Drosophila melanogaster: one gene and its partner. The protein of the gene in region 1 purifies or fractionates together with the protein of each later gene. This does not show direct contact. Each region holds a gene or a part of one and is shown in the gene's direction. Other genes may lie near its edges.

Region 1 (10,079 bases):
GGACGAATTATTGGCGGAAGCGATCAGCTGATTCGTAACGCCCCCTGGCAGGTGTCTATTCAGATCAGTGCGCGCCACGAGTGCGGCGGAGTCATCTATAGCAAGGAGATCATCATCACAGCCGGACACTGTCTACATGAGAGATCCGTGACGCTGATGAAGGTGCGTGTGGGTGCACAGAATCACAACTACGGCGGCACATTGGTTCCTGTGGCGGCGTACAAAGTCCACGAGCAGTTTGATTCCCGCTTCCTGCACTACGACATTGCCGTGCTTCGTCTGTCCACACCACTGACCTTTGGCCTCTCAACGAGAGCCATCAATTTAGCCAGTACGAGTCCATCGGGTGGAACAACAGTCACTGTCACGGGTTGGGGCCACACTGATAATGGAGCCCTCTCCGATAGCTTGCAGAAGGCCCAGTTGCAGATCATCGATCGCGGAGAGTGTGCCTCGCAAAAGTTTGGCTACGGTGCGGATTTTGTGGGCGAGGAAACAATTTGCGCTGCCAGCACTGATGCAGATGCCTGTACGGGAGACTCTGGAGGTCCTTTGGTGGCCAGTAGCCAGCTGGTGGGCATTGTATCCTGGGGTTACCGGTGTGCGGACGACAACTACCCCGGTGTCTATGCCGATGTGGCGATTCTGCGACCTTGGATAGTCAAGGCGGCCAATGCCATATGAACAGATTTTGGAAAATAAAGACCATGCTTAAAAAAGTTTAAGAATGCAACTCCATTAATATTCGCCCCCCAGGTGGAATCGAACCACTTCGACGCAAATCGACTACGGATTTGAAGTCCGCACCCCGGACCACCGAAGTTCAGTGGGGCATTTAGTGTGCTAGAGTTTCCCTAATTATATACACGTTGTGCTGAATAAGCACTTGGGAATTTTAAGAGTACGTGTAGAGCAAATTCCAGTAGATCTGAGGGCAATATAGATAACATCGGAAATCACGAATTTCATGTATAGTGTTATATGTCTTCTTTGGTCAATGTTTTATCGCATCCAAGCTCACCAGGAACACCACGAGTTGGTTTAGGTAAAAATTTAAGATATACGCATTCGAAACGAATGTCTTGAAATCTATAAAAGGGATAAAGTTTATTACAAAATATTAACTCAGAAAATCAGCATTTTTAATTTATGGAATGCAGTGGCAAATGCATATATAAAATTAAAGAGTAAATATCGCATTCAAAGGCGATTTCAATACCATTGAGAGGACTCATAGAATTTCAACAAAAGATCAAAGAGATTAGATAATGATAATAGTTATTCCGCCCGAGTACGCATCACTTCCGTGGCTGCTGGATGTGGATCTGGGGCTTCTGCTGCACTGCAGCCGGTGGCTTGGGCGAGTGGGCCACCTGGGCGGAGGCGGGCGTAAAGTCCGTGTTGCCCTTGACGGGGGCACCGCTCACAGAGCCGGAGTTCACGGCAATGGGTTGCTTTAAAGGATTAGAGGATAAGTTAGTTTCCATTGAAAACCACATACTTATGTCAATAGCTCACTGTCAGTCCAGTACAATCCTCTGCATCCTTGGGCGCGCGTTCTGCCGTCGGCGCTTTGTGCTGCACAATTCGCATGCCACCAGCCTTCACTATAATTAAATAACAAAAACATATAGGGTTGGCAACAAATGAGGCTTGGCCACAGTAGCCGATTCAAGCCGTGTTTACGTAAAGCGGCTATTAAAAAGTAAGTAAGCCATACTAGTCGTCCAAAGTTGACATGTTATTATTTACATTGTACGAAGATGATTAAGTCAATGGCATTTTATAAACGTTAAGGATAAAATATAAGGCGTAAAAAGCTACTTTAAAAAGTAATAATTTCCTATTCAGTTAACGTTATTGTTTGAATTGCACGTGACGTCAGCATAAAGTACAAATACAAACATACATTTCTTGAAAGCTATGCGTTTGCTTGCCTGTGTTCGCTTATTTGTTTACTTATCAGCTTTGGCCGAAACAGGTTAAGATACTGATAAGGGCGCAGATATTCTGGCAATTGATTTGATTGGGTGCATTATTGATTGCCAACAAGGCAGTTTGTTCTTATAAGATTCAATTGCTGCCAAAAATCGAAAACTCGTCTGCATCGACACACACACACCAATGCAAGTGCACTTACATGCAGGTGGGTGTCCGGCCACAAGATTTGGTTGTTCATCTGCCATTTGTTCTGGTTTAGTAAGCTGAGGGTCGGAGAAGTTGAATAAATTAACGGCTTGTGCACAGTTAACAACAAAATGAGACCTTACCGCTTTTCTAGTTGTAAATAAATGCGCGGCACCGCTGTGTTTTGCTTTTGCGTTCTAATTGTGACACGTCCGACTGTTGTCTATCGAATTTTTAGCCTTTTCTCACTGGATGCGCAGTTACTCATCGACTGCTGCAACGCGTTCTCACTGCAAACATTTTCACAAATAGTGGTACACGAAATACAACTAGAATTTATTTTATTGCTCGATGTTTTTGTGTAACATGTTTTCTGTATGCAAACTAATGCCCACAAGCTATATTTATTTTATTATTTTCCCTTTTACTCTTCCGCCTGTAAAAACGTTGAGTATGGTAACACCATTTCGACTTTCCCAAACAAAGATCATTGTTATCTTATATCTAAGAATATTTATTTACTTAACTTAAGTGCATGCGTGTGAAATAATAAAACCTAATGCTACTACAACTATCAATCAGCCTGCGAAATGTTCTGCGCGGCACTAATCAGAGTGTCGTGTATATCCTTGGCGGACTGTATGTGAACGCGGACCGTGTTCAAGTAAGTGGGATACGAAATGGGGCCGGCGTTGTCCGGCATAAAGGTCTCCATGCGCATGGGAGTCACCGGACCGGGGAGATAGTGATTGGAGGAGTTCTGCTGCTGGAGGCACTGCATCGCCGTCTTCAAGTGGATCTCGATCTGGTCGCAACAGGCGTAAAAGTCTTCCAAGTGCTTGTCGAACCGCGGAACATGGTGGGCACCCGTGTCCCTCTTTAAGTTGTCCGCGAGATTGTTTTGCTGCAGCGCGAAGGCGCTCGACCGGATGGTGAGGAACATGGACTCCCGCAGTGGTCCCAGCAAACTCTTCACCCTGGAAATGTTGTCCAATTTTTCGGCCTGCTGCTGCTGCTGCAGTGGCTGTGGAGGCTGCTGCTGTTGATGCTGCACTGGTCCTGGGGGTCCCGATGGCGAGGATTGCATTACCTGCATCATTTGTGGCCCAGACATGGGCATCATGTTCATGTTGGGATTCATTTGGCACTCGAAATCGATGGATATTGGGGGAGAAAAATATTGAACAGCCGCGAATTGTTTTCTTTTTGTGAAGAAAAACCCGTTAGGAGATTTCTCACATTTGCGTTCGCGTACCCATGGCGAATATCGAATATAATATAAATATAACTAAGAGTTGCTAAAAAATACAAAAGTTGTACTGTAAATTTAAAAAATTCTTTAAAAAAAACTAGTTTAGAAACAAGGACTACCCAATATTTCATATTGTTACATACATAAAAGTGTATCTATAGCATAACTCACTACGAAAAAGTAGAGGTAACAATATGTTTTGAAATTAAAAGTTGGCCATTATTGAAAGTGTTCGTTCATATTCTAACTGTCAAACAAGTGATAGCTAATGTCAACCGACCGGAAAGAGCTGTCATCTCATTTAGTGTATGCGTATCCCAAATAAAAAACGATGTGTAATGTTTCATTTAGCATTGAGTGTTTTTAGTTCTGTTTTAATTAATTATTAGTTTTTGTTTATTGCTTAAAATAGTGTGAGCAAAAAAGTTTAGTTAGTAGTCTTAGATATGAAAATCAAATTTATCTTGCTATAAAATAGCTATTCTGGCCGGCGTCAATAACCGATAACGATAACTTGCGACCTGCAACCCGAACAATCAGGAACAGCTGAGGCGCTTAAAACACATTTTCCTATTACAATTTTCGGCGCAAAGCGCGTTGCTAAATCAACAGAAATCGTACAGACAACATGACTAGGTGAGTGGCTATCTTTGCCGGACCATTGGAGGATTGTGACTGCAGGAGATGCACCGGAATCATAACCTAAAAGTGCCGCTTGGGTCGGAAAAGCTAACCCATGTTCCTACCCTTTCCCGCTTGCAGGAGCAGCATCGAACTGGGCGACGTGACGCCCCACAACATCAAGCAGCTAAAGAAGCTCAACACCGTGGTTTTCCCGGTCTCCTACAATGACAAGTTTTACGTGGACGTCCTGGAGGCCGGCGAACTGGCCAAATTGGCCTACTACAACGACATTGTAGTGGGCGCCGTCTGTTGTCGCATCGACAACACTGAGAACCAGCGGCGCCTGTATATCATGACCCTAGGATGCCTCTCCCCGTACCGGCGCCTGGGCATCGGCACAGTTATGTTCGAGCACATTATGAACTTCGCCGAGAAGGACGGAAACTTCGACAGCATTTTTCTGTAAGAAAACTTATCATTAAGATTCGTGTGTTTTCGACACACCCCTGGGGAGCAATGTAGTTCGATTTTAATGTAACCTATAACTATTTAAGTGGGAAAGTTTAATTCCGGCCTATCTGGCTTATTTATCTATCCATTTAATACATAATATATATATTTTTGGCTAAGGAGGAAATAGGTTTATTTCGAAAATACTTTAGATCATGTTTTTTAATTCTGGTTATAATTTTAGACATGTGCAAATCAACAACAACGGAGCCATCGAGTTCTATAAGAAGTTTGGTTTCGAGATTGTTGACACCAAGGAGCAATACTATAAGCGCATCGAGCCGGCGGACGCTCATGTACTGCAAAAGACTCTGCGCCGCACTGCACCCAACTCAAACAGCACCGCCACCAGCACCACCGCGAACTCAAATTCACGTAGTAAAGCACGACAGTTCACATTTGTTTAAAGATGAATTTCAATATGTATAACAAACAGACATGTAGAGGCGGCCAAAACGATGTATTCAATTAGTCCGATCATATCTATGTGTAATCAATAATAATTACCCCTGCGCGGGAATAAATAGCTCTATACGGCTTGGCCAGTCGAAACTAACATTACTTGGGCAATGCAACGCGACGATGGCTTTGTCTACTGTTACGGAAACTTGTACAGCCTCCTGCTCTACTGGGGATTGGTCACAATCCGGGTGAGAAGTCCTGATCGTGGAGGTGCGTTTTCAAACAGGTGGACTGTGTGCTATGCCCTTTTCACGCGCTCCTTTATGGTTATCTGCTTTATGGCTACCGTGATGACTAAGCTGAGGGATCCCGAGATGTCCGCTGCCATGTTTGGACACCTTAGCCCGTTGGTCAAGGCAATATTCACCTGGGAGTGCCTCAGTTGCTCGGTCACCTACATTGAGTACTGCCTTTCGCTGGACTTGCAGAAGGACAGACACCTGAAACTCGTGGCTAGGATGCAAGAGTTCGATCGTTCCGTTTTGATGGTGTTCCCTCATGTTCAGTGGAACTATCGACGCGCTCGCTTGAAGTATTGGTATGGCACTGTGATTGTCGGCTTTTGCTTTTTCTCCTTTTCCATCTCACTGATCTTCGATACGACGCGTTGCACATGCGGCATACCGTCCACCTTGCTGATGGCCTTCACCTACACCTTGCTGACCAGTTCCGTAGGATTGCTGGGTTTCGTGCACATAGGTATTATGGACTTTATAAGGGTTCGTCTGCGTCTGGTGCAGCAGCTGCTTCACCAACTTTACCAAGCGGATGACAGTTCAGAGGTGCACGAAAGGATTGCTTATCTTTTCGAAATGTCCAAGCGCTGTTCGTTTCTCCTGGCGGAGTTAAACGGAGTTTTTGGATTCGCCGCAGCTGCTGGTATCTTTTATGATTTCACTATCATGACCTGCTTCGTGTACGTTATCTGCCAAAAGCTGCTGGAGAGAGAGCCCTGGGATCCCGAGTACGTGTACATGTTGCTGCACGTGGCCATACACACCTACAAAGTGGTCATTACTAGCACCTATGGGTATTTACTTCTGCGAGAGGTGGGTGACCTTATTTCCGTATGCAGAAACTTGCATTTCGCATCTCTATCTGGTTTTCTCTAGAAACGCAACTGTATGCATTTGTTGAGCCAATACTCGCGATACTTCTCCGGACAGGATGTGGCTCGCCGGAAAACGGAGGACTTTCAGCATTGGCGCATGCACAATCGGCAAGCGGCAATGGTGGGCAGCACAACCTTGCTAAGTGTTTCTACCATTTACCTGGTGGGTGATACCATGAGCCGCTCGGAAACCTGCCTGATCTGATCTTTTACTTATCCTGGCAGGTGTACAACGGAATGGCCAACTATGTGATTATCCTGGTGCAGCTGCTATTTCAACAACAGCAAATCAAAGATCACCAGTTGACATCGGGCAAAGATGTGGACATTGTGGGCCCAATGGGACCCATCACTCACATGGATTGAAATAGTTGCAATTACATTGAAAAAAATTAGCTTATCTTTATTACGTATACTACGTATCTTAACACGTTGCAATAAAACGGTTTGGTTAATTACTTCTTTATAGTTCAGCTCCGAATTAAAACACACTCAGATCATCATAAAGGCGTTTGACAGTTTTGGTCCTGGCGCCTCCTTCGGTACTGATTGCCACTCAAATCCGTCGACGAGGATTTTGATCGCCGGCACAAAGTCGATAGAGAACTCATGGTACTTTGATTTGGCGGTAATGTTATGACAAATTTTTCTCGTCGATACCGCAAATGGTAGCATCTCATCCTGCAGCAATGGGACTTCAAAAGGATGCATAGTAAGAAATGATTAAGAAATCGATTTGTTATCTCATCCTATTACCAGAATTGAAGCTTTTAGAAACAAATGTGGAGGTCAAAAAAAACAGTTAGCTTAATTTTACTAAAAGGCCATTATTCAAGACATTCTTTACATAGAAGTTTTGTTATTCTGTGATTTGTTAACGTTTTTGAACTTGGTTTTAACATATATGTAAGGGGATTAGATACATCACCTTTGCGCTTAAATGTTGATAACGATCCTTTGACAAATACATACATACATGCATACATAAGTAATATAACATTTAACAGTTAAGTATATGAATACTGTCAGTTGATATCAAAGCGACTTATGCTGGTACAATCTTTCGAATTGAATGGATGTCTTTAGAAAACTTTAGTTTGGGTTTAATCAATGTTGCAAATATGCCAATTGGCTGGGTCAACACAAAATACAAAATAGTTCCTGGGGGTCAATCAGGTGGGTGTAGAATTAAGTAAATATGTATTGGTTGCAGATTGCATCAAAACTCCGTTAGGCGGTGTTCATATAAAAATCGCCTACATTAGGTATACGCATACCAATGGACTGAGTATATACATATGTATATTTGAAGTGTTTACATATATAGCTGTATGTACATACATATGTATATGTATGTATGTCTGTAGTATATACTGACGGCCGCATGTATATGCATGTTATACATATGTGCACACGCAAAGCGTTCGCCTACTCCGCAGCCCGGACATCGTTTATCGATTTGCGAAAGGCAACAACACACAGCGACGGCAGCTACTACAAAAACAATCAACAGCAGCTACAACAGCACAGCTATACCAGCGGCGGTAGGCCGCTCTCCCCCGCTCGCCACCCCCCGTTCCGACCAGCCAGCTAGCTGGCATAGACCATAGCCCATGGCCCGTAGCCCGCCCCCTTCCAGGCAACAACACCACAGACCCCCACAACACCCCACCCACTCTCTTTTTGCGGCACGGCTACATACAGCAGCGCACATACAAATGCACACACACACTGGGAAGGAACGGCCCACACACACCCATACATACACACACGTACAGACTGGCAGCCAGGCCTTCGACGTCGAACGCCACAACGCCCAGCGACCCACTACCCGCCCGCCTCTCCACACCCACCCTCTTTCCACTTCCCTCGCCCCCCATCATTCCACTAAATGCTGCTGCTGCTGCTGCCACTGATGCCTTTGTTGTTGTTGTTGCTTTCCCTGCTGTTTGGGGGCTGGCTGTTGGTGATGATGATGGTGATGTTGATGATGATGGCGGTGATGATGACGTTTGGAACTGGCAAACCGGGAGCTGTGGGTGCCAGAGGGAGGGGGTGGCGATGGTTGAAGAGAGGGGGGAAGTTGGTGGTGGGGGGAGGTAGAGCAAGAGCCGGCCGCCAGGACTTGTGCTGTGCCAAAAGAGTGAGTGAGAGAGGGACCGAGGGGCACAGAGGCGGAGACGTCGCTGCTGCGTGTGCGAGTGGGGGCGGGCAGGAAGATAGAAGGAGGGAACGAAGAGGTGAGGAAGGGAGAGGAGGCGAGACGAGAGAAAAGCGAAAAAATACTTATAATAAAAGCAACAAAAAACCCGCACAAGCTGAAGAGATACAAACGTACACACGCAGCCAAAGCGCACAAGCACACACACACAGGCGCCGTCGTCGTCGCCTGGCTAAATATTCGCCAATGTGTGTGTGTTTGTGTGTTAGTTTGGAAGGAGCCAAAGCGGTAGGTAAGTTAACTGGTCGTAGGTTCGCAACAACAAAACCAGAGTCGCAGCAGCACCAGCAGCAGCAAAAGAAAAAAAGAAGAAGAGGACGGCCAGTGAACGCGGTGAACGGGGGGGTTGCTGAGGAACGCGGATCGATGGAGCCATTTGGCTGAACCAGAAGCGAGTCCAGCAGCAAGAAAGGGGGCCCAGCGGCCGATTGTTCGCGCTTAAAGAATTTAAAGCTGAAGTAGCATCAGGAAGAGATATTAAAGGCATTTTATTTTTAAGCAACAGTAATTGGTTGCAAATATTTTATACTATGTACTGGCTTCCACGATAACAGGGTATACGATAACTTGGTAAAATTGTTCACAGGTTTTCAGGGTACCCTCCACATGGTGCTCCATGTACATACAAACATACACACATACGTATGTATGTTCTTACGCCCCTGAGCAGGCTCGCCCACTCTCCAATTTTGGCCGTCCTGCTCCCCCACCCTTGCAACACTCAATTTCAAACAAACCTCTTTTGCGCTCTTCTCACATCTTTCACTCTCTCAAAAGTGGCTGTCCTAGCGGTACCAAAAGCTCGGTTGAGACAAACTGATAAGGATAAGCAAAGATCACTCTCTTGATGCTCTCTTTGCACAATTCTCAATCGTTATGATATCCTTTCGATATGCCATTGCTTATGCTGTGACCTTGAACTTGGCTGGACGAAACGGGCACGTGACAATCAACAGTTCCATCTTCTGCATTTTAAAATGCATTTAAGCAGCTCTTGCAGCACATTTCGCCTGCCACAAAGTGCGGGCAGCATCGCAATTTTGTCGCGCCTGGGTTTCGTGTCCACACATATACATATGTATATGCATGTATGTATGTACACAAATACATACCTAGCACTATAGTGCAACTAGCCCTCTGGTTCTTCTTTCTATGTGGTTGCTGTTGCTGCTTTTTTCTTGTGGGCGGTTAACGCTCAAGCGGTGCGAACGCCCATGTTGCGCCCCTTCCCTGCCCTCCCACCTCCGCCAGCTCTCTGTTTTTTCGTCATGATGAGCTTGCCTGGCTGCCTGCTTGTTCTTGTTCTTCTTTACACGTCCTCCAACGACGTTCGCTGTTGGGGCCCCGCTTTTGCTGTTGCTGTTGTCGCTGGTGCTGCTGTTGCTGTTGCTGGTTGTTGTTGGTTCGGGCTGTCTATGCATGTATGTGTGAGTGTGCGTTCGTGTGTGAGTGTGCGCGCGCGGCGGTAGGTGGGGGCGGGGCGGGGCAGGGTGAATCAGGGGCGGTGCGGCATGGGGGAACGGTGGAGTGGGGAGCGTACTTGTGTGTGCATGCAGCTCTCGGCGGCGTCGTCGTCGTCGTCGTTTCATTCAAGTGTCCAACGTTTGCCGGAGCGGTCGCACACAGAACGGTAGTCGGATAGTCGGACGGTTGGCAGATTCCGATTTTTGCGCTCGCTCTCTCTCCCTCTCTCTCTCGTTAGCCCGCGCTCTCTCCTGCTGTGTACTGTTAGCAAGGAGGCGACCGAAAAATAAGAAGCTTGCCGAAACCGT
Region 2 (11,717 bases), on another chromosome or scaffold:
GCTTTATGGGCCAGTGCAGTGGAGTGCGGCGGAGGCGAGCGACAACAGAAGAGGACAATTCCCAAGCGAGGAAATTGGAAAAACTGCTAAAGGATCTGGTCCTAATTTCATCCTGGTCCGCAGTATAGTTGCAGCATTTGCGAATTGAATTCGATTGGTCGAAAGTCCGGGAAGGAAGAGTATGAACAACGGGCTCGGACCCTTTTGCGACGGGGAATTGCCGGGTGCGTTAAATTGAATTTGAATTGAATCCAGCTAGCGGAAGACAAAGCATATTTCGTTTAATTTTGCCAGACAAAAGTCCTTTGTAACGTTATGATTTCGTTATATCTCTTCCTTTGCTATTTTGGCTGAGAAAATTGCACATATAGTTGGAAAGCATCTTATTTCTAGTGTCTTTGCTTGTACCACTATCAAGTGTCCTTGTTTTGTGTGGAATCCTAGAGCTCTATTTAAGGTATTAGCCAGAGTTATGAAACCGCAATACAAAATGTGGTTCTTGTGCTTATTCCATTGAAAAGATCAATTCGTAAATCAATAATGTTGTTGATGCGTATACTGTTTACAGTCTCAATTTCATGTTTTGTATTATAAAATTGCTTACAGATATTACAGATTATTACAGATAATTTACAGATAAGCCTGTATAATTATCCACACATGATAAAGACGTAAAACTAATCTGGGTTTATCGTAGCCGTAAATTAATACATATCCCTTTTTTTCTGTCTTTGCTACTCTTTTCAATTAACTGTGTTCTCCAATCGCATGGAAAAGTTAACCATGTGGCTGCACTTTGTTTTCTTTTTAGACAACGTGTTTTAATGGCCCGGCAACGGCAGCTCACCCAGTATGCCGAGCTCCCATGGACAACATCCCGAGAACGACTACATCAACAGAGCTTTGACGGCCTGTGACTCCGGATTCATGGTTTCAGAGCTTCGGTGATTCGGTGTTTCAGTGTTTTGGTGTATGGGTCCCATTTAAAATCACTTTGCGGCTTCGCCCATCCCGCGCGCTCTGCATAAATAAGCGGCATTTGGGTTGAGGTGGGTCTTGCCCCTTACATCCCGCCACCTGGCACCTGTCGTCCCTTTGGAGGACTCACTTGCATCCCGTCATTTGCTTATCCTTTGGACGGACTTTCCGCGTTGATTGATGGCAACTTTTGGAGCCTGGCGAAGACTAAGTGGCCCGATGGTTTCCTCCCTCGATAACCTTTATGGCTGCGGTTGGTGCTAAGTTATGACGTGTTAATAATGGCGCATAAGCACAGAAGTTGTGGGCGTCACCTGTCTGAATTTAAGTGACGCATGCGAGGCCGAAAGTCGATTCATTCATCGGAGCAGCAGTAGATGGCGCACGCGAAATTGATTGATTGTTAATCAGAAACTGAGTAAGCCACACAACTGAAAATTGACAGAATTTAAAAAAATATTACCAACTTCAATTGTCTATATAATTCATATTTCAAAAATATATGATAAATGATATAGGAAATGAACGCTTTAGTAATTATCAGGCCCTTTTTGCGAAGTAAGTCAGCGATTTTCGCTTGCATGCTACAGCTAGTCGCTCCACGCCCACCAATTCTCATCTTTTTAGAAGCCTGCACAATGAAGATCCGAGATGCGATCACTAAATAGTGATCCTCTGGTGCTGTTCGAGCATTTCAAAATATTTTAATCGTGGATTTCAGTGGATGTGAAGATTTATGAACATAATAATAACAAATTTGCTAATTGATTTATTGTCGAGTGTATAAACACCATTCGCTTAATTTATGCCGCTGCCGTCTGAGTATTCCTTCCTTTTGTACTTCCTTTGAACCAGCTCGGAGTCAGCGAATTTATGCACTGGAGGAGCAACCAGTGAGCTAAAGCAATCAGGCCGGGCATCGAACGACGAGCACTGGGCGCGCATTTTGGGATGGGATGATGTACGACGAATGTCCTGCTACAGTCGCAAGCACACACACTCACACTGGTGCACAAACCGTTCATTATAAAGGAGTCAGGTCGTCAGGTGAGCTGAGCGAGAGACAACGCAACCGCAGGCAATCACTGGCAACAGGCAACACAAATTAATTATTAATCAACGGGAGAAGAAGCATCTGAAGGAAGTGGGGACCGTAACCCTCCCCTTCAACGCTCGATCCGCGATCGTCCAGCCACGAGAGTGATTTATGCCCTCAAGTCTCTGCTCCCAGAGCTAACGAATCTCAGAAAGCCAGCCCCTATCCAAGCCCCAATGCCAGACCGAAACCAACTGACAATGTTCCGGCCAAGATGGACGATGCCGATGGACGGCGATGGAGATGAAGACTAAGCCCAAAACCAAGACGAAGACGAAGGCCATGCAATCAAGCCCGGCCAACACTCAGCGGTAGATCGCACACAAGGTCAAGCACTCAAGCAAAAATGCCGGTGCTTGATTTTTAATTTAGTTTTAATTTTTTTTATATATTTTTTAAATACTTGGCTTTAAACAACATATGAAGCGATTAAATTAAACAGATTAACTTACATATAGCATTTGGGTATGGGAAAAACTTTTATTGTTATTATTTGCCATTGACTTATGGATTACCCAGATTTTTTAGAATGTAGGGAACTTTCATATTCTTAAAACGGGGATTTTCTTTAGTTTTATTATTGCGTTTTATTAGCAGATATCAATTTAATTCAATACAAGAGAGAAGGCTATAGTCGAGTTCCCCGACTATCAGATACCCGTTACTCAGCTAGTGTGAATCCAAACGCGAAATTTTATAATTTTTCTGGAATATCGGTATCGATATTGGGAAATAAAATGAGAACAAATTATAAAATTGTTCAAAAGTGTAGGCGTGAGCGGATCGGCGGCTTTTGGGCGTTAAAGCCATGGCAAACATTTTTTGCAAATCGATAGAAATTTTTAAGACTTATAAATTTATGGAAAAATTTCGAATTTCGAAATTTCGTTTTGTGCGGCTTGTGGGCGTAAGCCACTAACATGGGTCAACAAACTTGCGCTGCGGCTTTGGGTCTAGAATCTGTATGCTCTCTCTTTTATAGTTCCTGAGATCTCGACGTTCATACGGATAGACGGACATAACTATATCGACTCGGCTATTGATCCTGATCAATAATTTATATACTTTATATAGTCGAAAATGCTTTCTTCATCCAACGAATCTTTTGTAGTATACCCTTTTACTGTACAAGAGCGAACGCTGTAGTCGTGCTCCACGGGGTGTACGAAGGGCACAAGATATACTTCATTTGATTAAAACTGATTCTACATTCTTATCTAGTACACTTACAATCTAGTATACTTACATATATTTACTGTCCTGATGTAGGGTAGCGATGACTCGTTTTTCTCGCTTGGTTTCGGAATCTGACTAAAATATTGAGAAACTGTAATATATAACCAATATTTTTCGTTGGCTATAATGTCTGCTGCAGGGCGTCCAGCAAGAAGACTTCGCCGCTCTGTGAGCCTTTTGGTTCCACCCATATCAGTCAGCCCCCAAGTACGTCAGTCAGTCAGCGAATGGATGTTGTCCGTTGGTCCGGAGTCAGTCCGCCCGTCCGACTCTGACTGCCCATCGCACATGCAATGGCCGCAGCATTATCATTTGGGATACTCAGATCTTGGCGTGTCGAATTCAGCTTGCGGTGTCCGGGGTCCGCGCGGCGGATTGTGGAGATGGTATGGGAGGGCCTCAAGTTGCAACACAGACACTGGGCGAATCAGAAATGCCAGAATTGAAATCGCAGTTTAAATCATTTCTCGGTGGAACTGCTGCTTCTTCAGCGCCTCCTCGCCTACATGGTGCCCAGTCACAATCGCCTCAAATCTCGAATAACAAATCGCATAATTACGGGGAAGCGGCTGTCCATTGCGTACCCTCTCGCTCCCACTCTCTGCCATCAGTGCGTCCCGCTCTAGTCTTCTGCCTGGCAGCCAAACGAAGACGAAGGAGCGAAGGCTCGAGACGGCGATGCAATTCGGATATGAAATATTTTAGCTAAATGGCAGCCGAAGAAACAAAAATGTGGGATTGAAGCGTATAAATCAGCGGGTATTCGCTCCGTTGCCCTCTGGAGCCCACCTCTCATTTCGGTCCTTTGGATGCTGCATCAATATGTGGATGTGCAGCGGCTGTGTGGTGTCTATGTGAAGCATAAAATCAACCTGAGGCGATAAATCGAAAAGATTTTGCGCTGAACACGCAATTAGTTCACCTCTAGTGGAGGATTCCAATGACATGGAAAAATGGTTTTGATTTCGCAATATAAATGGATTTGCCTTGTGTCCCCGATTTCTATGGACACAACTGAAGGCAGAATATGTGTGAAATGTTTTCTTTGATTGGTGAATTAACATTCTTTTCTTTCTCTATCTACTATAATATACAATATTTTTTATTTATTTTTTTTTTAATTATTGCTCTTTTAAATATACGAACCAAACACACGTTAGAAAATATTGATATTTTCGGGACTTTACGTTGGACAAAACCAGACACTGCTATTCTTATGAACAGCATAAAAGTTGTGAATTTGCTCAAGAATTTAAGCAGAAAAGGATAACATGAAAAACTATTGGGATTTTCTTTTTATTCCTATATACACATTCCATTTTACAAAAATAAGTGAAATAAAAAGTCGATTCCAAAAAGGGAAAATACCTTTGTATTTCTTAGTTTCCCTCGCACTGCTATTTTATTGAACACAGCTGTAAATACATACATATCTGGGACACAAACGATGAGACACAACTGCGAAACATATTCTACACCTTAAAATATTTAAATAAGAAGTAAAAAAGAGTTGAGTAAAAAAACTAGACAGAACCGATCCAAATATTCTTTATTAAGATCAATAGCCATCTCAATCTATCCGTTCGTATTAACCTCGAGACCCCAATAGACCTTAACCGTTAGGAATTATAGCTCGATAAATGTATATATGAAAAAGATCACGAAGTCCAATCAAAAAAAATTGTAAGTAAATTACCCCCTAATCAGAAATCTCTGGTGTTTTTCGAACTTAAAAACCACTCAAATATTCGAACTTCTCTCTCTCAGTTGCACAAACGATTTCGAATTTCGAACTTCTTGTGGGAGAAGCAACTCGTCGCGTGCGTCGTACGCTTGCTGGTGAAAAGTGCGCTGTGAATTATGTTTTATTATCTGTGTTTTACAGTTTGTTCTATCGAATTTAAATGAAAATACGCATCAGCAACAGTGTTTAAGCTCTGCTTTGATGAGAAAAAACTATTTCCTCTAATCCAACCTTGCTACTTGCACTCCGATCCACAGGTTCGTAATATACATATGTATACCCCAAAATTATAAAATAAAATGAACATATTTATGTTTCGACTTGAACTAAGGTAAATACTATGGAATTATTGTTTGGTAAATACATTTTGGTTGCTTTTGGCCATTAAATTGTCATTAATTAAAGGTTTGCTTGCATACCGACAAAAATCAGCTGTTTTGCGGTTTGTAGGGTCAGTGGCGTACATCTCAAGAGGGGGTTAAAACATTTTCGTGTAAGCTAACAACTTGAAAGAATCTATTAGTGGTTGATATGGTACCTATGTTTTGTGAGTACGTTTAAGAACTAATAAATAAATATTTCGTTGTTTATTATTAGCGAAATGTTACCATATATTTTGTAACAATTTCCTAGTTCGAGACCCTCATCCGAACGCCTCTGTCCACAGACTGTTTTCGAAAATTCGACAAGCGAAAGAGCAAGAACAGTTATTGTCTCGTGAGCACAAGAGCGCGACCGGTTTCTGTTTCGCTCTCGCATGTTTGAGTGATTTCGAAAGATGGATGAGTTACTTCGAATTTTATGGGAGAAACAAATTTAATTCCATTTGTCGCCATTTCTGAAAAAATTAATCATTTTACAAATTAAATCGGAAGAAAATAAAATGAAATAAAAAATAAAGGTAAACCAACAATGCGTCGACGAATACATAGTAACGAAAAAATTCACTTTTGTTAAGTTTTTTCAAACATTTAACGTACATGTACATGATTTAAAATATTATTCTTTGCTATTCAAAAAATGTTACTAGGATTGCATCTCCCTAGGATAATATATTATTAAATAAACAATTACACGGAAAACTTGTTTTTTTCTACACCTATTACTTGTTGTTTAAAAAGGACATAGAGAGAAGAGTTGGTCCGTTTGATGGTCGAGACTTCGGAAACTAAAAAAGCCGAAATTTTTAGCTATCAAGGTTTTTGCAGAATGTTGCCGAGCCCACGTCAACGTCCACAAAACCGCCAAAAAATTTACTCCCACACTTTTACAAAATGTTTTCAGTTTTCTGCCCTTATAGTAAAATGGTATACTAGATTCGTTGAAAGAATATATGTACATATTCATAAGTAGATATTATTATAGATGATACTTATGTAGTAGCTCATTTTCATTATGTGTTATCTATAGGAGCTGTATTTGCTATTATATCAGGTTTAATTCATTGATACATATGTATCAATATATGTACATATGTATCATTCATTGATAGCCCAGTCGATCTGGCCATATACATATGCCCGTCGTTATAAACGTCGAGATCAGGAGACTAAGCATACAGATTCTAGAGACATTGTAATAGAAATGTCAATTGCCAATTTTTATAGATTCTTTGTACCAAAAACATTTTGTTTACGCCCCTCCTAACTACCTACAAAACGCACAAAACGGCCAGGACAACATATTAGAACAATTTTGTCATATCTTCTCATTTTATTTGCCAAAATCGATATAATAAATATCGCTATGACAAAAAAATGATGACATTTAATCTGATAGTAGTGGAACTTGACTATAGCATTTTCTTTTGTTCTTATTTTCCCTTTTTCTTTCTCCAACTTTTATCAATATGCAAAAACAATTTTTTTATGTATGTAAAAGCTATAAAACATAAAAAACAAAATTTTTTAAGGAATTTCCTTGTTTCAAAATGTTTTCATATATCCAAACTATTTCTAAAAGGAGCCCTAAACATAAACGCAAACATATATCCTCTTTGGTCTATTTGGAAATTAATAAAACGGACTTTTGCATGGAACGAATTTAAGCCAGCCTATAGTCAAGGTACAAAGCTGGTAAAAGTGCGAATTAGAATTTTCAACATTTTTCTGACATATCGATCGAAAGAAATATAAACTAAGTAGTAACGGGTAAAAATATTAACCAAAGATCGGATGGAAAATAGTTTGGCCATAAATACATACATACGTATATACAAATTGGAAGGTAAGGTGCCCTGTAAGCCGATGAACATTTGAGGAGCTCATAAAAAATGACTTAAAATTAATGTATTGAAATGTATTCGATTGGTAATCGAAAACATTTAAATTCTAAATTGCAAAATTTGTCGCTGATTTATTGTTTTGTAGAGCAGCATTTTTACGAAACTTCTGCGCAGGGCCAGTTTCCGAACCAAAGTGAATACAACAATGAAGAAATGGCTATTCCTTGTCTCACTCACTCACCAAACTCCATTGAAATGTCACTCAATTCCGTGTCAGATTGGCCACGCTCACTGGCCATCGTTCCTCTCAGAAGTTAGGAGTTAGTTAATTCAAGTTCTGAAATTTTTAGAAATGGAAGATATAAGATAACATCTTAGTTAGTTGAAAAAAATAACAACATAATATAAAATAATTAGTTGAAAAATATAAAAGAAAATTAATAAAAATAAAAATAAAAATTAATAGAATTTTATTTCTACCAAGACGTTATCTTCCATGTACTTTCGCAAAGGACATATCTGTTTAAACGACCCTGTCAACCATGTCCTTCATGCTCTTTTCTATTTTCAAAATGTATCCTATGCCCAAGACATTGACAATAGCAAGGACGAAAAGCGGACAACAAAGCAGAAGCGAATCAGAAACGCAAATAATATAGGATAACAGGAGAGCTGCGAATCCTGGAAATGCCTACAAGAAGGGTGGTGTTTTTAGACGGGTGGATGAGGGCGCCCCTCGGTAGACAATTAAAAATATATTTAAGCTGCCAGAGGTCTTGGGTCTAAACTTACTAAATGACTGACAAGTCCGTTGCCTTCGAAGCAAAACACTGCCCCGAAAAAGCGGGGCTGTTAAAAACAAGACAAAGGGAATTTTAAGAAAACTTCCCTCGCTTTTGTTTTTCCCTCCAAAGCACTCGTGTTTTTTTTTTTTCACCCACTCCAACTTCTCCAATCCGTAGCAAAATCAGTTTGAGTTGTGTGATTGTGTACGTGAGCATAACGGTTAAGGTGGCCAAGACTGGGTGCAGTCCACCCCAATGGCCACCCCCTGTCAGAATTGATTGATTGAATTGCCACTTTATGAAATTTGTGAGTCTTCGGAGATGTGCGTGGAAATTCGTGTTCTCGTCTTCGCCTTTCCTCTGGGGTGGATCCGTACGGTGGGTGGGTAGGGGTTTTTCTTGGGCTGGGTGGCTCTCCGAGGGTTGTTCCTTCTGATTTGTGTTTGTGTGCGCGCTGGCTAACAATTTGCAGCATAAAATACATAAAATTATGTGCAGCGCTGAGGCGGCCATTAAACTTGATAGATTTATGACGGACAGCAGCAAGGGAGCCGTACAAAAACAAAGCGAAAGTGTCTGAATGGGGTCTTGTCTTTCAGGCCAACCCCCGTGCAGATATAAAGATAGCTGATTAAAATTGCAAAATTGTCCAAATGAGATTTGGCGCCCAGCGGATATTCTGGAAAATGTCAGCGATTTATATATTTTGTTGCCTTATACATTTTAATACTTTTATATATTTACGATTAGCTTTAAGATTATAATTATATCTTGATTTAAACAGAATTAATATGAAAGCATATCAAAGCATATTACTCAATTATACACCAAGATTTTTTTTTAGAGAACGTGCAGATACTGGTAATGCTACACCGATTCTCACACTTACAAATCCATGCTCATTTTCTTGCGGTCAATTGTTGCCTTAGCCACAACATTGATTTAAATAAAATCAAAACATAATCTAAACAAGCCTCTAGACATGGGATTTGTATTTTCGGAAGAGTAGTGGGTATTTAACAGCCGACTCACTTGTTTCTTATTTTATACAAGGCAAGTGAAAACTCTACAGTCGAGTCTCTCGACTCTCAGATACCCGTTTCTCAAATAGTGGGAGTCAAAGCGAAAAAATTTAAAATTGGCCAAGTAAAATAAAAAAAATGCACACATTTTTTCAATGATGGAAATTGACAAGACAAACAATAAAAGATAAGACACAACAAAGTATGGTCGTGACAGTTTAGTTTAGTTTCTAAAACGCGGTTGCACAACGTGGGCGCCACTAGAATTTGGATGCTTTTGGCTTTAATAGTTCCCGAGATCTCGGTTACTGATCCTGATCAATAATTATGGACACCTTACAGGGAATCGCTCCAATTCAACAAATCTAGTATACCCTTTAACTCTACGAGTAACAGGTATTAAAATCAATGAACTTGAATCTCCTTGGGCTACTTCTTGAATAACCGTAATGAAAAAGCATCCAATTTAAATGCAAAATGAAATGGAGTGAAAGGCTTATTAGAACAGATGGGCGAAATTAAGAACTGGCCCAAATAAATGAAGTAAGATATCTAGAACCTATTTCTTTTTTTTTCTGGAGCTGGCAATTACAAAATGATTGAATGGTAATTTCGGAGGAAATGTTGGTTTTTGCCTTTTCTGTTTCAGGTCTATGAGGCTGTTCGGGTGCGTATGTTTGGAACTGGCATAAATTCCCATTATTTATGGAGGCTGCCCCTGTTTGTGATATTTTATTTCGCGCAAGGCAAGCGGAGTATAATTTGCGCCCAAAACAAACAACACTACAAAAAATGCCGAAACTTAACAAAGAAAAAGCGTCCTGAATGTTTGGAATTAATTGCCCAAGCTCCTCCAATCACAAACAGAAAAAGAAGCTAAGAGAAAGGGAGAAAAAATTGTTTTAATTAATAAAATTGAATGTGTGCGAAAATTGAAAGGATTTTTCCGGCCCCTTGGTGGTGCTGTTGTTGTTTCTGCGGCATTCATCTTCGACGCTCATTCGCAGGCTTTCCTCATTGGTCTCATTTTGAATGCAAATGATTTATGCCAGAAAGTGTCCTGGCCGAAGAGTCGGGGCCAAAAACTGGATTAGAGGGTGCCAGCGTCGGCTCGTTTTGCTTCACACCCCCTAAACTTTTTCGCCCATCGCAAAAGAGCGGGCACAGCCGGCAAAGTTTTAGCCCCAAACTTTGGAGGTCGCCTACGATTCCTCAATAGCCCGAGGGGTATGTGCCGTTAGAACCGAGTGGGCGAGGGGAGTTTTTAAATATTTACTCAACATCCTATTATCCCCATGCGGACTGGGCTAAGGACAGGCAGCGGACCACAACCCGGGCTTGTATCAACATTTAAAACGATAAACTTACCACATACACAGACACCCGACAGAGAAAAATGCAAAAAGGACGAAGGACACGTCTTGTCTGTCACACCAAAATGTCACCGCGGGGTGAATTACTGGCAAACCAAGGGATAAAAATGCTGAACAACAAAAATGTGCGAATGTCGGAAAAATACTGTTGGGCTTGTAAATACCCTTAAGTTTCCCTTAAAAATTTTTTAATAATATTTGAGCGAAGTAAGCTTACATTTAAACAGTAATAATATCATCATACATAATATCAACCCTACATAATCTACCTGACTTTATTTTCAGTGTATTCAAGTTTTTAATCGCTGGAAAGATTCCACTAAAAAAAGGCACTACGTCTATGTGTAAGCAGGACGACATCAGAGCGGGGCACGCGCCTCTCACATACAAACGCACAAAAACACACTGGGACACAAAACAAACAACAATGTGATAGACAGAGCAGGCCAGAAAAAGACACACATAGCGGGTGAAAGGGACAGAGCGACAGGGGGAAATGGGCCAAGCGTGTGAGTGATTTATGGCGCTGCAAGTGACGAGGACGAACCAGAATTCTTCAGGATAATGCCGACATAACGAGATTGTTGTATGTACACATTTTCTCCTTGTTTGCGCCGTCGGTTCGTTGCCGTTGTTGGCTTTCGGATCCGGATGTTCTGGAAGGAGGAGTTTTTGTAGGTGGAGTCGTTTTACGTTGTGTGTACACATAATGACACTTTTCGCTGAATATTCCCGCTCTGTTGTTGGCGTTGCGCACTGCAAATAGGGGCGAGATATATGTATGTATTTATATGTACACATGTGTATATATGAATGTTTCCAGCCAGTGGCGATGTGTGTAACTTGTCAGTTTATTTAACCTGACTGCGTCTGTGGGCGTACTTGAGCCCAAAGGACCTTCAATCAAATCCGTAATCCGTACTCAGTACGTTAATGAGCTTCTCATTAATTTGTCGTCCACAAAGGCTCACCTGATATTTTGTTTATGTCCCCAAGCCCATCGAATTGTGCAAGCCCATCGGAATCTGTTGTTTAAGCTGGATCCGCGCGGGTAAATAAATGTAGGTTTTGCGACATTGAATTCTTTGAATAGGGCGTCATTTGGTAAGCGAGGCAATAATTATTTATCGCATTATTTATGAAAGAAAACCACTTCTTAAATAGGTATGATATACTAAAGTATATCAATTCAATGAATTGCAATCTTTTAAAGAACGTTAATCTTGCGGAAAAAATGACCCATCCTATTGTCCGGAAAC

What was found.
Region 2: the proteins of san (region 1) and CG31612 purify together in Drosophila melanogaster (affinity purification with mass spectrometry, with the first as the bait; one large-scale study listed by BioGRID). This does not show direct contact.

The regions. Positions count from the first base shown.
Region 1 is NT_033778.4:11,356,818-11,366,896, forward strand, and holds san (separation anxiety), read left to right. Parts: upstream 1-3,888; 5' UTR 3,889-4,007; coding exon 4,008-4,015; intron 4,016-4,141; coding exon 4,142-4,465; intron 4,466-4,697; coding exon 4,698-4,920; 3' UTR 4,921-5,054; downstream 5,055-10,079. Other genes in the region: iotaTry (iotaTrypsin), read left to right, coding at 1-684; CG12384 (uncharacterized protein), read right to left, coding at 1,299-1,454, 1,519-1,607, 2,141-2,186; ix (intersex), read right to left, coding at 2,702-3,268; Gr47b (gustatory receptor 47b), read left to right, coding at 5,083-6,024, 6,088-6,249, 6,312-6,452. UniProt on the Drosophila melanogaster protein: N-alpha-acetyltransferase that acetylates the N-terminus of proteins that retain their initiating methionine. Has a broad substrate specificity: able to acetylate the initiator methionine of most peptides.
Region 2 is NT_033779.5:21,788,840-21,800,556, reverse strand, and holds the start of CG31612 (uncharacterized protein), read left to right. Parts: upstream 1-5,109; 5' UTR 5,110-5,163; exon of another isoform or gene 5,164-5,311; intron 5,312-11,717.